Linked DNA regions of Drosophila melanogaster. The protein of the gene in region 2 purifies or fractionates together with the protein of the main gene of each other region. This does not show direct contact. Each region holds a gene or a part of one and is shown on either strand. Other genes may lie near its edges.

Region 1 (5,851 bases), on a different chromosome or scaffold from region 2:
GGCCTTGTATCGCACTCCAATGGGTCAGTACTACTGCCAGCCCTGCAACATGATGATGAACCATGAGAGCACCTTGCAACAGCACTTTATTGGCAAGAAGCACCTGAAGAGGGTAAAAAACCTTTCCCAAACTGAGAAGAACGTGTAAAGAATTTATTTGATATACCCTAAGCCTAAGCCATGACTTCCCGTTAGCAGTAAAGCTTCCTTAATAATAATGACATTCGAGTTTGGGAAACAGCTATTTTGTTTAAGAAAGGCATTATAAAAACCGTAATTTGTTATCATACCCATTACTCATAGAGGGGTATATTAAACTCGTTAAAAGGAATACAAATTTCTATCGATATGCCAAGATAATTTTGAAATTTCTCTCTCAAACTCACTCCCACTATCTGGTATCTGATAGTCGAGAAATTCGACTATAACATTCTTTCTTGTTTAAAAAAATTGTCTAAATTTAGGGATTCAAAAGTGGTTTACCGATGATAAGCTTTCTTGAGCCCCACTTAATATGATCACAAGGTTTAATTTCTTTTCTGCATTTATTTTTAAAATTATTCGCCGTTGTTATTTCGTAGATAAATCGGTAGTGGTCAACTTTTTTTTATTAACTGTCAGGCCAAAAACAAATGGAATTTAAAATAGTTCAAATCAAATTCGAATACGAAAATAAGTGTTGTATTTTGAAAAAGAAAAAAAATTCGTAATTTCACACCATGGCCGAGGAGATAGAGGTTGAGGAGACGGAGGACTTCCACGACATGGACTTCAATGACGAAGAGCCATCCTGTAGTGGAGGAGCTGTCCAGGCCAGGACGGAGCGCTTTGTGGTGAAGAAATGGGTTGCGCACGCCATGTGGGGATGGGACGTAGCAGTGGACAACTGTGCCATCTGCCGTAACCACATCATGAACCTGTGCATCGAGTGCCAGGCGGACCCGAATGCAAACCAAGACGAGTGCACTGTGGCTTGGGGCGAGTGCAACCACGCATTCCATTACCACTGCATCGCGCGCTGGTTGAAAACGCGCCTGGTCTGTCCGCTGGACAACAAGGAGTGGGTCTACCAGAAGTACGGCCGCTAGCGAGGAATATGGATCGGGATATTAGGTGGTGATAGCTGTTTGCTGGCATGTAATTACTGTAATTAAATAAGAACGGACTTGGGTTCCAAAAGAAGGTTTACGCTTCCTGGTCGGGCAGGAGTTGCTGGGCCGTGGGCCTGACGCCAGTTATATGTTCGATTTGAGAGTAAAGCGAATCGCGCTCCTCCACTAAGCTAGCGTACTTTTGCTGCAGCTCCTTCTCGCGGTCCATCTGGCGACGCACGTCCTCTTGCAGCGATTCCAGGCGTCGCGGCACAGCGATGGCCTCCTGTTCGCCCAAAAAGCGGAATGTCGAGAGTGAGACAGAGTTCTGCTCAATCTGGCCGTACGTGTCCTGAAGCTGCTTAATCAGCACCTGGGCGCGCGCCTGGTAGCCGCCGGTGAGAATCTTCAGCTTCTTCTCGATCTTGCCGCAGCGCTTGGCTTCCTTGGCCATGTGGCGGCGATTTGTCTCCAGCCGTTTCTCGGCAGACTCTAATCGATCCTTCTTGCTGGCCAAATTGGCGCGTGTGTAGCGATGTTGGGAGGGTAGGTAAAGAACCTGGCCGAGGCACTCCTGCCACACCTGGGCATAAACGTCTAGGGGCAGTTCGCCATGCGCCATGCGCTCCTTCACCACCTCCATTTCCTCGGTGAGCATTTGCTTGGCCTTCGCCAACTCTTGCTGCGAGATGTCCTCGTAGGGATTGGCCTTAAAGTAGCTTTGTAGCTGTTCCAACTTGTGCTGCGATTGACCAGGCACGGGATCCTTGACCGAGTCGTACACTGCCAAGAAAAAGGACGTTAGTTACTTGGGTTAAAATGGAAACGTTGGGTTTACTCACGCTGCATGGTGATCATTTCGTGTTTAATCAGCTCTTCGGCCTGCTGCTGTTCCGTAAGGTTCTGTTTCTCGGACTGCGGTCGCAGAATCTTGGTGTTCACTTCAGTTGGTCGCGGGAGACTACGCTGAATAACCTGGGAGCGCTTCTCTAGCTCTCGCTTTCGGCGCGCCTCTTGTTCAGCCAATAACCTGGCGTCGACATCCGCCTGATCCTCGACGGCGGGTTCTGAGTTGGTCTCAATGCGTTCGCTTTCCTCCTGCTCAGGCACCACGATCTCATAGTCATTCCGTGGAGCGGGCAGCGTGGAGAGACCGTCACGCAGTGTAGACTTTAGTTGCTTTTGGTAGTTTTTGTAATGTGCTGGGGTCTCGGTGACGCCCATACTCTCCTCAGGATTGATGCTTAGCTTGTCCCTCACGTAGGCAGGTGTATTGACGACACCCGTAGCCCCTCCTGCCCCCTTTACGGGAACTAGGGCTCCGGAGGAGGGCGTTTGGAATCCGCCGGGAGTGGCTGCTCCGCCCTCGCGTTGGGTTCTAAACGGCGTGGCAATCACTGTGTTAGGCGTGGCGATGGAGGCCGCCTTGGGCAGCACGCCGGAGAAGTCTGACTCGTGCAGCGGTGTGTTCAGGCCACCTTTGAGTGGCGTCTCTGTGTGGGTGAGGGCCATCATGTTTTGGGCCTCCTGCATGATGCGATCGGTGTACGGAGCCGGAGTACGTGGAGTGGCTGCTACCTGGGGTGTAATGGAGTAGTCGGCTAGCAAAGCATCCGTCGTCTCTATGCCGCTCTCACCGGCAATTTCCTTTGCCATCTCACTGGCGCGTCCCAGCTTGACTACCTGCTGTAGTTCCATGTCGGAAATCTGCGGCGTAGGCAGGACTAGTTTGGAGCGCTTCCGCTCGGGCTCCATGTTTTGCAGCATTGCGGTGGGCACTTCATTCTCTTTGCGCTGCTTCAGCTTCTGCTTGTCCCGCTTGCGTTCGCGTTCCTCCTTCTCTGAGCGGAGTTCTCCATCTAGGTCCTGCTGCCGCATCTTGTTGAAGTCGGGTTCATTTTTCTGCAAGTGTTCCTCGGAAGTGTCGTAGAATCCGTGGGCAGGTCGCTTTTCGAAGGGAATCTCGGCGTTGTAGTCTATTCCCTTGATCCGCTTGCGATTTCCGCTGCCAATTCCGGCGGCACGAAGTTCGCGCCGCTTTTGGAGAGTGGCCAGGCGGCGGGCTTCCTCCAGTTGCTTTTCGCGAGCCTTGCGCTTGGCTTTCTTGCCTTGCGTGTTGGCCAAGCGGGCGCGTGCCTCGGACAGCATTTCCAGCTCGTCCTCGTCCATGTCCTTGGGATCGGGCCGCGCCGGCTTGGTCTCTGGATTGGGGTCAATCTCTCCGGGCTTCAACTTGCGAGGATCATCCATCGTGTCCTCGCCATCCTCTTTGCGTTGGGCTTGGTCTCTGTACGGCAGGAAAGGGATCAGAAATTTTCTACTTAGTATGTTGTGCGTTGGACTCACAGCAAGTACTCATAGCGCTCCAGGCACTGGGCTGCCGTCCGTCCGATGATCGGGGCTATGGTGCGCCACTGCGTCGGCATCAGCTTGGCCAAGTGGAGCAGTTTCTCGTCCTCCTCACGGGACCACTCGGTCTTCTTGATGCTGGGATCCAGCCACTCGTACCACCTGGCCTTGCACTGCTTGGCGGACTTTCTGTGCAGGAGGGAGGCAATTCGACTCCACTGGTTCTTGCCATATTTCATAACCGCAGCTTTGAGGATTTCATCCTGGGAAAATGAAATCGGTAGCCAATGTAAGCCATGTGTGGTTAACCGATAGACTATTGGGATAATTACCTCCGTGTTGCGCCACACGCCGCCCTTGATCATTATTCGCGGCATTCTGGGGCCTTATGTTGCTTTCTGTCGCGTATACAATGGATTTTCACAATTTTCACTCGAGTCCACGAAACTCCGCTCTTTTTTTTGCAGTAGCCGCTAGCGATGGTTAGTCTTCGATAACAGCGATATCTCCAGCACGTTTTGGTATATTTATAGAACCTCTAGTTAAACTATTCTAGCTTAGTACAAAAAAATTTCATTATATTGTATTTAGTCTTCGTATACCGTTTGATTTAACTTCGGTCTTAATATTGGTAACTTAAATTATTCAATTTAATAAAGGGCCTATACACACGACATAACATAACGCGACAGTGTGACCGAATATAGTTGTGCAAACACCGCTGCCACACTGTGTACAGCAACAGCTGTTCGCTATCAGTTATTTTGTGATGAAAAGTTTTTTTTCTGCGTAATGCCAATTTTTGTGATGCGGAATTAAGAGGCGTGTGCCCAGGAAGCGGAAAACCGGCAACCGGCAACCGGAATCCGGCACCGGGAATCAACTGGACCAAGGAAGGCACCCACGATGAGCGATGCGACCTATCCGGGATATTACGGCGGCAACCAGGTGAGCAACCAGCGAGTACCTCTGGCCAGAAAAACACGCCGTGTGTCTTCCAGCTGCTCCCGTTGTCGCATCCGCATCCTACACATCCGCACCAAGACCTGTCGCTTTCCACGCCGGTTCACTCCTTGGAGCAGGACTCCAACTTCGGGGGATTCTTTGACGAAGAGCTGGTCATCGGATCGGGATCCGGATCTGCCTCCGCGTCTGCTGCAAACACCACCCCTTCTGGAACTACTTTGTGGCTGGCCGATGGCGGGAATCGATCACCTACTGAGGTGGCGGTGGAGTCCCAGCCCAATCAGGGCATTCCCTTTGTCCAGATCCACACCACCGACTTGCAGCAACCAGAGAAAAGCTACCGCAATGCCTTCCGCAGGCGTACAGCGGAAATTAAGTCGGAGGAACTAATCAAGTCGGAACTTGCGGAAGCGGCAGCCAAGGATCGCCTGAATGCCACGCCAACGCCACCAACTCGAAATTCCAGCTGCGCCAGCGTGGAGGGCAAGGCAATCATTCAGGAGGGTCCGCCTCTTATCCTGCGCTGTCCTAATTGTCCATTCTTAAGCCTCTGCCAGATGCGTCTTCAGCAACACCTTAGTCAGGGCAACTGCTATATGGAGCAGCACAGGAAACAGTGTCCAGGTGAGGCATAGTGCGCCTTCAATATGAGTGCTCTGCTGGAATGCTTCATCATATTTGCATTCACTTTTCACGTGTTTTTCGACAGGCTGCTCAAACATTTTCTACACCAGCGATGCGCTCAGCTTGCACCTCAGCTTGGACCATCAAATGGAGGACAGTGAGACACTTGCGCTTATGGGCAGAAAAGTCACTGAAGCACAAACTAAAAAGCAGACTCAGATGTCGCAGAGCCAAAATCGACCCAAGAGCCGCATCTTTATAAAAAGCGTAGATTGCCTAAGGGAGCCACTCCCGGATTTCCCGCCCTTAATGCCGGATAGCGGGTCCGCCGCTAACATTCTTGATCTGCTGGAAGGTGTGGCTGTAGGTGCATCGCCGACCGAACAGACAATGCCAACAGCACCTGCTGCGAATTTACCAGCTCCGCCGCCAAAGCCCATCCAGAAGATCTCCATCAAGAGCGTGGACGTGCTCAGGGAGACCGCTTTGCTGCCGTTCGACTTCCAGCTGCAGAACCATTCGGTCAATACGGACAATAGTCTCCCTGAAGTTCCTGATGTTGTCGGGGAGCCGGAGAAGCCGCGCCAGCCGAAGATTTATATCCGCAATGTAGACATCCTCAAGGAACCGATGGTTTTGCCATCTGCTCTGCCCGGTCTGGGATTCAATAGCACCATGCCGTCGGCAGCAGAGCCAGGACAAAGTGGCCTGGTTGTAGGAGGAGCAGATGGTGATGTCTTCCAGTCGGAGACACTACTAACGCCCACGTGTCAGCTTCCAGGATTCGAGCCCAGCCTCGCCCCGCTCGCACAGATGTGTTC
Region 2 (6,178 bases):
TAACGGCGGCCATAGCCAGCAACATATGGGCGGCCTACGAGAAGCATGGACGCAACGCCTTTCGCGAAGGTCGCCTCACTTTCGTGCTCATCGATTGTGAAAACGGTCATGTGGCCATCACACAGGTGGGTGATCCTCTTTTTTTTAGCAGGGATTCGTTCTATAAAATCTTAACTATATTCCTTTTTACAGGTTGCCAGTGTCCTTTTGTGCCTGTACGCCAAGCAAACGGTGGGATTGGGTCTTCTGAAGCAAAAGGCCATGTCACTGGCCTCCTATTTGGAGCGACCGCTTAAGCAGATCTCGGCCTCATAAGGATAAAACAATGATGTACCAAGTTCCGAAATGAATAAGTTAATAAGTGTATGCATCAAAAGTGAATCAAATGAATATGAATAGTCTGCGGAAAAGTTTAAACGATAATATATTAGTACTTGAAATTATGAATCTTTAAGGATTTTGTTAGTATTTAAGGAAAAACTTGTCTGCTGGTTTCCAAAAGTAACCCAAAGATATTTCGTATTCTGAATTATTTGGATAGAGGGTCAGGTTTATTATTCTGCAAGATTTGTTCAAGAAAACACACAATCATTAGGGAATATTGTATAAGAAAATTTTGGACTTAATTACTAAGTGTGGACTTATTCGATGGCGTAGAGCTTCAGGGTGCGGTCCATGCTGGTGGATGCCAGATACTGGGCGTGCTTGCCGAATCTCACGCCCGTTGCCAGGGCCGTGTGGTCGTTGAATACCTTCAGTTCCTGCCACTGCTTGCACAGGTAAACCCTGTAAATAAAACGAAGCAACCGTCAGAATTTGTATTTGTACCGTGGCAACCAAATAAACAAGTTAACTAAGGGAATCTTCTTTGGCGAATTTAACTTAACAATGCGAAAGTTTAAAAGAAAAGTTTACCGCGAATATGAAAGTAAGTATTATATTCTAATATGCGAAGACTTAAAAATGCATGCTGCTCTTCAAGATTTCGTGCGACCCAAGACCCATGTGGAACCGGAGCCTCCAAAGCCCATAAACTTATCGATTGAGGACTTCAATGCGGTGCGAAATAATTAATTTTTATATTTCCAAAGTTAAGTTTTATTAATATTCCTCAGCGCGGAGAGATCGCCAATCCCCGTGCTCCTTGTGTGGTCACCACCATCGATCCCGATTATATTAAGGACGCCAGTGCGCAACGTTTGGCCAGAAAATTTCGCATGAAAACGTAAGGAATCAAATGAATTATGTGCTGGTGCAATTTCACAGCTTTTTCAGGGACATCCTACTCTTGAGGGAGATTACCCGCAATCGCTTTATGTACTATGCTACGCAAGAACTTTTTTTGGACCGAAAACGCGAGAAGGAATACCAAGACAATGTATACGAAAAGGCCGAGGAGTTTCACAAGTTTGCAGAGGAGTCGCTCAAGAAAATGGAAGCGGAGGAGTTTAAGAAAATGTTAGAGGCCCAAGAAAAGCTGAAGACACTGAAGGAAAGCAAACTGAGCGAAGAGCTGAACGAGGTGAAGCTGGAGCATCAGCGAGTGCTGATGGAAGTGCAGGAGGTCTACGGTCGCTTTCAGTATTTACTCAAACTGATCAGCTACTTTGATGACACAGTTGAGGAGGAGCAAACCGAGGGAGACGATGCCAGCAATAGGCTTAGCATGCCGCAGGAAATCGTAGCCATGGAGATCACCGAACGACATCCAGCGGGTCTCGAGCAAGTGCGTCAAGTCCAAGACTACATGGAGAAGATAGTGCGTCCGTATTTGGCAAAGCGGAATCATCTCAATGCAGAGATTTGGATACGTGGCTATGAGAGAAATCGCTTAAAGGTGTCCAACTACAACAGGCGCTTTTCTCAGTTGGCAATCTTGAACCACATCGTAGCCATCCTCCATGACAAGGCCCAGAAGACGTACGAGCGTCAGGTGAAAGCCAATGTGTTCCTCAAGGATCCCGAGTTCCTGCAGCGACGGGTGGCAGGTCTTCAGGAGCGTGCCAAGGGTCTATTAAATGACTTCGAGCAGAGATACTGCAAGGAGTGAGTTGGGATGCGTACATATTTGAATCAACTATTTTATATTCTTAATTTCCAGCAAGCTGAATATCAAGCTAAATGCTATTGTACCAATTATTCTCAAGCAAATCCAAAACAAAGTTAAGCCGGAGCAAAAGCGAGAGGTTACGCAGCCGCCATCCAAGCCAGCAGCCCAGAAGTCGTCCAAGCAATGGCGAACACTGGAAGACATGCAGCCTCCACCACCGCCACCCAAGTCTACATACGCGGACGAACAGGACACGACTCTTGCCAAGGTGGAGAAAATCCAGGGCTACGTTTTGGAGCTCTTGGCTAAACTGGACCACATCGAACCGAGCAAGCTGCGAAGTGTCGAGCAGCAGGTTCGACGTCGCATGGCAGCGGAGAAGGAAATGTCTCGCCGTGCGTTAGTCAAGCAGAACCGGCTACACAACTGGATGGCGCATTTCAAGAAGCATCATGATCAGCAGGTTGAGCAACGATGGAAAAATAAAGTCTAAGCTAGACAACAACACCATACTTAAAACATTAAATGAATACAATTTAAAACTTATTTTAACCTCATTCTGAATGATTTCAATAAGAAAAGTACAATTCACTTACCTGACATCGCTGCCGGCGATAGCCAGATAGGTTCCGCTTTGGTCGAAGCACAGATCCTTGACCTCGTAGCCGTCATCAAGCTGGATTGTCTTAAAGTTCTTCAGCTTTCGCAGATCCCACAGCTTAACGCAGGCATCATCTGCAGCGGTGGCCAGGTAGTAACCGTTCTCCGAGAAGGAGATGGCCGAAATGGGACCGGTATGACCAGGGAAGTTGGCCACATTGCTCTGCTCCTTCAAATCCCAGATCTTAACCTGCGAGTCCACGGTGCCCGTACCGAAGATCAGACCATCAGGATGGAATTGCGCTGTCGTCAGCCCGACTTCGGCGGTATCGATTACCTTGGTGAGCAGGCGTCCTGTGCGGATATCGGAGAATGCCCAGTGTTTGTCGGATGATGTGGACAGCAAGTAGTCGCCAGTGGGGTGCAGCGAAAGGCCAGTAACAGGTCCTTCGTGGCAGCGCAGGAGAAGCTGCGTCTGCGAAGTGGGCACGTGCCAGATGCGTATGTTCATGTCGGGCGAGCCGGTTATGACTGTATCCTCGTTAGGATGATATATGACTTTGGTGATCTTCTTGGTGTGTCCCTTCAGGATGGCCACCATCTGCTCTGTGTCCTTGTTGAACACGGTGGCGTTTTTATCGTTGCCTCCGGTCAGAATCTTACTGTGATCAGCACTGTTGATGTCCAAGGCCAGAATGCCGGGAACGGAGGCCGAGTGTAGGCCGGGATGGGATGCCACAGTAAGGAAGTTCTTAACCTGATCCGTTGTAACCAGATCCTCGGGCACAGTGCGTCCGCGCTTCTTACGCTCCTGCGTCAGCACCGTGGCCTTGTCCTGCAGTTTCTGTATGACCTCGGCGCTCATGCCCGCCTGCTCCATGGGATGGGCAGCAGCTCCGCCAGCCTCAGAGGCCAGGGCCGGTTGTGGTATTGCCGTGGGTGCGTTGGCAATGCCCGCCTGCGGTTTCAACGTGGCCAGAGCTTCGCGAGCGGCGGCCACCTCCTTATTGAGGCGGGCAATCACACGACAGGCGGCATCGTGCTGATACAGCGCATGGGACAACTCCTGGCGCGTCGTTTGCAGCTGCTGGCGTTGTGTGAACGAGTGAATCATGAGGGCGTCCCACTCGTCCTGCATCGTTTTCAAAGTGGCCGGAATGCTGGTGGCACTTGGCGGTTTCGGTTTCACCACAGCCGGCGTCTTGATCTCGATCAGCTCCTCCGGCTTCAGCTCCTTGCCGCTAATGGGATCGCAGCCATTCTCTAACAGATACTTCTCAATCACCCGCTTTTCGAAAACGGCTCCCGAGTGCGGGGAAACCACGGGCGTCTCGGGGACTTCGTTTGTCACTTGGAATGGAAAGTGCGATTCATAATGGCCCAATTCAAATCAAAATCTAAATTATTCACTTACGTGCGCAAACCAAAGCCATTGCTGTTTGTGATTATGTCGCTTTTCGCGTAGTCTTGTTGGTAAATTAAATGTTTTACACGTTTTTCCCGAGCCAAGCGCAAAATTGTCGGCAAAGCCGCTTCTTCTTATTATGCCAGTTACTCGGCGACGCGGGAGTTTCGAGCACAGGGCTGCCAGATCAAATGGATTTTGGCTAGAAATTTGCACAGAAAAAACTAGCTAGAATTTAAACAATTTATTTTATTGATAACACAACACATTCAATAAGTATTTAATCCATAACAATAGTTTTTATAGATAAATGACATTTACTGATAGAGAAGTGAGTAACATATCTTAAATCAATCAGCTATCTCACCGTTTTGCCAATCACAGTTCCGCACGCACAATCCATAATTGCTGGCAACCCTAGCACGTTGTTTCTGTTATTCAATTCACGATCTAGTTTTATAACATAGTTTACTGCCATTAAGGTATATTTTTAAAATGCTGAAGCATTTTGCACGATGGCGTCTGGGCAGCCAGTTGCTAAAGGGATGTGCCGCACCAGTGAGGCAAGCCTCCAAAACCTCCAGCGCAGAGAACCTGATAGCCGGCACAGAGGAACCCCAAAAAAAGTTCGTCAATCCGTTTTCCCAGCCCGCTCCTGCGTTAAGTAATGATACGATATCAGAGAACAAGGAGGAACGGGATAAGCGACTCAAGGTGCTGCAGCTGGAGGCGGACATTGCCCACCAGGAGGGTCGGCGGGTGCCGTCACTGGAATTCTTTAAGGATCATCATTGGGAGCACGTGCTGACGCTACCCACAAAATCAGCTAGGATCAAGTACTTTGGCTATCTCTGGCAAATCGAGATGAAGAAGGAGGCGGATCAACGCAAGAAGGCAGAGCGAGCGAAGGAAGCCGAGCGGCGGGTTGCGGAGATGCGAAAGGAGCGCGAGGAGAATACGCACATTATCTATGGCCTGGGACACACATCGTTGTTTCTGCGTATCTATGATACCACTATTAATCACTGGCAGAACAACCGACTCACACGGGCCATGCAGTTTGCCCCCAAAATGGTTTTGGATTGCTCCTACGATGAGCACATGAACAATCGGGAGGCTACCTATGCAGCAAAGCAATTGATGATGTGCTTTGCGGAGAACCGGATGAATGATGAGCCCTTCGATCTGCACTATTGCAACACCCAGATGGACAGCAGATGCATGCAGAGCCTCCAACGCTACATCCCCACCATGCACAATCCAGAGTTCCCGATAAATTTGCATAGCAAGTGCTTTACGGAACTCTTTCCCAAGCAGAACCTGGTCTACCTAACGCCCCACTGCCGGGAGGATCTGGTCACTTACAACCCAGATGACATCTACATCGTGGGCGCCATGGTAGACACTATGAACAACGAACCCCTTTCGCTGGCCAAAGCCAAACGATTGGGCCTTCGGATGGCGAGACTGCCCCTGGATCGCTACCTACAGTGGGGTTCCGGTTCGGGAAAGTCGCTAACTCTAAACCAGATGATCAACATTATGCTGGACCTCAAGAAAACCGGCGACTGGGATACGGCCTTGAAGCATGTGCCCCGTCGGAAGGTCGTGCAAAACGAATTCCAGCCGCGCAGGGAGAAAGATCATTGGAGCACAGGCACGCGGGCCAGGAAGCTTAATATGCGAATCGATCATCTGTTTGATTTTGACGAGAATCGCCGGCAGGCTACCTCCTATGCAACTCCGCAGAATGTAAGGCAGCGACGGGAGGGCTTGGAGTTCCAACTGGACACTTGGGCAACGGGGAAGCAAAAGAAAAAGCAGAGACAAAATTAAAGTTACTCGTTGTATTCATTAAGATGCATATTTCATTTTATTCGGATTCGGATTTCTTATTCATGGGAAGTTAGTTTTTGGTTGTAGGGGACCTTCTGCCTCCACTTCCTTCTTAATGGCTGCCACAGTCTGATTCGATGAGGGAATCTCTTCAATTACTAGACCAGTATACTCTTCAGCAGGTTCACCATAATCTGTGTCTGTGTCATATTTGAAAGTACTTTCTGGCATGGCTTCTGTCACGGCTTCATCTTCTTGTTCATCTTTATCGGTCTTTTTGTATTTTA
Region 3 (3,498 bases), on a different chromosome or scaffold from region 2:
CATTACAGTGTTACTTGACTACCGATTGTTGCTTAAGTATCATTATTGCTTACACAATCGCATTAACGCCGCGACAATAGCGCTCCCACATGGATCGGAATCGAGGTTGGCCTCCGATGTCCCACACCTTGATAGTCACATTGCCTCTGGTGATCTTGCGCATGTTGAATCCAACTGTGGGTATCATGTCCTCAGCGAATTGGCCGGACTACAAGAAACAAAAATAATTAGTAAGTAATCGTGTCTTAAATAAAATACAACTTTTATATTAGCAAAGAACAAAGCCTAGAAGTATGCAATCCAAAATAATGTAAAACTCGTGTAAAAAATTGATTTTTTACACATGACAGCATCCAAAACCTTAAAAAATTTGTTATTCTTTTTGAAAATGCTCTTAAATAAATAACTATTGTAATATCTTAAAGTATTGATCAAACAATGTCTTTTGGTACTAAATTTAATTCAACATACAACACTTAAATTGATAATTGATTCTAACCCATAAATCTTTGTTCTGTATCAGCATCAATCACCTTACATATGCATTCAATAAGAGAATCGAAAGCTCCTAAAATGGCAAGATGTTACTTCTGTGACTTAGTTTAAATTAAAAAGGTATACTATAGGTTAGCAGTCGCTAGTGAAATGGGAAAAGTGACTAATTGGCGCCACCCACAAGTTTGTTTTCATTCCGAACCTGAACATTACACTAATGCACGAATCTGAATGCAAACACGGAATTGGAGTCTAATAGCAGTGATAAGCAGGGGAATATTTCCGTTTCGGGAGCACTTGAACAAACAAATTTCCCGTAGATGCGGGCAGACATTTGAATCGAATTCACATGACTCATAATAAGTCAGGCGGTCACAAAGGCAGTAGTTACTCCACCTCCCGCAACGACTGGCAAGTGTATGCAACTATCTACGAGTTCCAGTAAATGGTAACTTGAGATCGTCGCATTATCAGCGTGCAGAAATGTGTGAAAAAAACCAGGGAGGCGGTACGGGAATACGGGGTCAGGGGTTGAAGTGCTGATAATGGCGTCATTGTGCGGAGAAACATGCGTATATATGGGCTATATGTAGGTTTATTGATTACAGCGGCAGGAACGGTAAACTTTACCACTAAAAGGAAACGGTTAGCACAGCGTTAATTACGGATGCAGTGAAAGAAACTGGGAGTACGAAAAGATAAGAAATAAACAATGTTAGAGTGGGGGAATCAAGCTAAGACCAATTCCTTTGTCACTGGGGGTTTGTAATGCTTTTTAAGTAGTAGCTGATCCCCCGGCTTTCCGTGAACCCCCTCCCCACCCACACAACAGACAACCACACACAAAAAAAACCACCCTCTCACCCATACACCCACACGAATTCGCACACACCCACTGCGAAAATACTCACTGCAATAACATTGACGAACGTCGTCTTCCCGGAGAACTGCAGCCCCACTAGCGTGAGTTCCATCTCCTCTTTCCAGAAGATGCTCTTGAACCACTCGAGGATCCTGTTGATGAGGGCCAACATCCTGGGGCAGGTGTGTTTCTGGTCGGGATCTGCTTGAAATTCGCGAAAAAAGGTTTCCTTTTCCAAAGAGCGTAAATGTTGTCGTGAAAAAACAACTGGGCAGGTCAGTGTGGCCAAGTGCGCGGTAGTGTACTTAGTAGTATTCGTAGTGAATGGTAATCGTTTATTTCAGCATGTATCCAATTAAGAGAAAATAAAATTCATATGGTATATATATATTAAGTACAAATAAATAATATTATGTCTTCGGGTTTCATCGGGAATATTATTAATAAATTGCATTTAAAATATATGTGAAATCGCTACTGGACAATATTTACTGTACTTGCTATCGATAACGTGTAACCGATTTCCGTATAGTTCGCTGTGACTGGCAATTAAGGCAGAAGAAGTTAGTAAACAAAATGGTAAGATGATGTGAAAATTTTATTAATTTTAATTAAATGAATAATACATGTATATTTTCAGGCGCGCAATGCAGAGAAGGCAATGTAAGTAACCCGGATATACGTATAACATAAGATTTCCAGCACTCATCCGCTTATTTTCGACAGGACAACTTTGGCACGTTGGCGGGCCGCAAAAGAAGTGGAATCTGGTGAAAAGGAACGCCGGCCCTATTTGGCCTCCGAGTGCCACGATTTGCCCAGATGTGAGAAGTTCCGCCTGGAGATAATACGCGACATATCGAAGAAGGTGGCCCAGATACAGAATGGTACCTATTTCGGTTTATTTATTTCTCCCTAACAATATACACTAATAGCGACCACTTATAGCTGGCTTGGGAGAATTCCGGATTCGCGATCTGAACGATGAAATCAACAAGTTATTGCGTGAGAAACGGCATTGGGAAAATCAGATATCCTCATTGGGTGGCCCCCACTATAGACGCTATGGTCCCAAGATGTTCGATGCGGAGGGCCGTGAAGTTCCCGGCAATCGAGGCTACAAATACTTTGGAGCCGCCAAGGATCTGCCGGGTGTTCGCGAGCTCTTTGAACAGGATCCTCCGCCGCCACCCAGGAAATCACGCGCTGAACTAATGAAGGACATAGATGCCGAATACTACGGCTATCGAGATGACGAAGATGGTGTTCTGATCCCTCTGGAGGAACGCATCGAACGAGCGGCCATTCAGAAGGCCGTGCAGGAATGGCGGGAGAAAATGGCCAGAGATGGTCGCATAATCGATGACGAAGAGGAGGATGAAATATATCCCCTTTCGGGACCAGCACGCGAAGCCATCGAGGATGCCAAGGCTCGAGCCGCCGTGGAGGATCCTCATGGCCTATTGGCATCCAAGTTCACCGCTCACGTTCCCGTGCCGACGCAACAAGATGTACAGGAAGCACTGCTGCGCCAGCGGAAACGGGAACTGCTGGAGAAATACGCCGGTGGCACTAACTAAGCTCAATAAACATTCTAAACTCTTAGTTTGATACATTTAAATCGCGTGTTCTTTTAACACGGCATGTTTTGGGTTATGATCATCTATAATTGGAATAGATAAATAGTTAAACAATTTTTGGCAAGGCACTTCAATGCGCTCTAGTCTCTTATAACTAGAAAATGTAGAATGAATCAGTATTGAAATTGATCGAAATTTCGGCGTCCGCCGCCACGTCCGCCTCCAAAACGACCACCTCTTCCTCCAAAACCGCCACCTTCAGCAGCGCGCTTGTCCTTCATGGCTTTAAAGCGTCTAGCCATGTTGTGCAGTTCGTCGGGCACTTCCTGCTCCGCCTCCTGCAGTATCTCAATTAGTTCCTTGGCCATAGCCCAATCCTCGCGCGTAAAAAAGCTTATTGATGTGCCCTGTCGGCCAGCACGTCCGGTGCGACCAACACGGTGCACATACTCCTCGATGTTGTGCGGAAAATCATAGTTGATGACATGTCTTTGTGGATGAAAAAATAATGACTAATGGGTTCCTCGACTCGAAAAATTTGCTTACGTGATATCCTCAATG

Evidence for each region. Proteins that work in one complex are often made in the same cells at the same time.
Region 1: the proteins of Prp19 (region 2) and Cdc5 purify together in Drosophila melanogaster (affinity purification with western blotting; one study listed by BioGRID). This does not show direct contact.
Region 3: the proteins of Prp19 (region 2) and CG9667 purify together in Drosophila melanogaster (affinity purification with western blotting; one study listed by BioGRID). This does not show direct contact.

The regions. Positions count from the first base shown.
Region 1 is NT_037436.4:357,312-363,162, forward strand, and holds Cdc5 (cell division cycle 5), read right to left. Parts: upstream 4,073-5,851; 5' UTR 3,818-4,072; coding exon 3,773-3,817; intron 3,704-3,772; coding exon 3,438-3,703; intron 3,379-3,437; coding exon 1,934-3,378; intron 1,875-1,933; coding exon 1,186-1,874; 3' UTR 1,089-1,185; coding exon of another isoform or gene 720-1,088; 3' UTR 540-719; downstream 1-539. Other genes in the region: CG1231 (uncharacterized protein), read left to right, coding at 1-148; Roc1b (regulator of cullins 1b), read left to right, coding at 720-1,088; CG1233 (uncharacterized protein), read left to right, coding at 4,347-4,388, 4,442-5,030, 5,116-5,851.
Region 2 is NT_033778.4:18,446,826-18,453,003, forward strand, and holds Prp19 (Pre-RNA processing factor 19), read right to left. Parts: upstream 4,217-6,178; 5' UTR 4,084-4,216; coding exon 4,065-4,083; intron 4,001-4,064; coding exon 2,647-4,000; intron 2,596-2,646; exon of another isoform or gene 2,544-2,595; coding exon of another isoform or gene 2,102-2,543; intron 2,047-2,101; coding exon of another isoform or gene 1,276-2,046; intron 1,226-1,275; coding exon of another isoform or gene 1,116-1,225; intron 1,060-1,115; coding exon of another isoform or gene 983-1,059; intron 929-982; coding exon of another isoform or gene 889-928; exon of another isoform or gene 787-888; coding exon 642-786; 3' UTR 536-641; downstream 1-535. Other genes in the region: Lamtor2 (late endosomal/lysosomal adaptor, MAPK and MTOR activator 2), read left to right, coding at 1-125, 193-315; CG30120 (uncharacterized protein), read left to right, coding at 889-928, 983-1,059, 1,116-1,225, 1,276-2,046, 2,102-2,543; rswl (roswell), read left to right, coding at 4,551-5,891; Dnaaf3 (dynein axonemal assembly factor 3), read right to left, coding at 5,952-6,178.
Region 3 is NT_033777.3:8,124,751-8,128,248, reverse strand, and holds CG9667 (uncharacterized protein), read left to right. Parts: upstream 1-1,891; 5' UTR 1,892-1,933; coding exon 1,934-1,936; intron 1,937-1,997; coding exon 1,998-2,020; intron 2,021-2,083; coding exon 2,084-2,244; intron 2,245-2,305; coding exon 2,306-2,937; 3' UTR 2,938-2,959; downstream 2,960-3,498. Other genes in the region: Arl8 (ADP ribosylation factor-like 8), read right to left, coding at 54-208, 1,407-1,529; CG7878 (uncharacterized protein), read right to left, coding at 3,111-3,426, 3,484-3,498.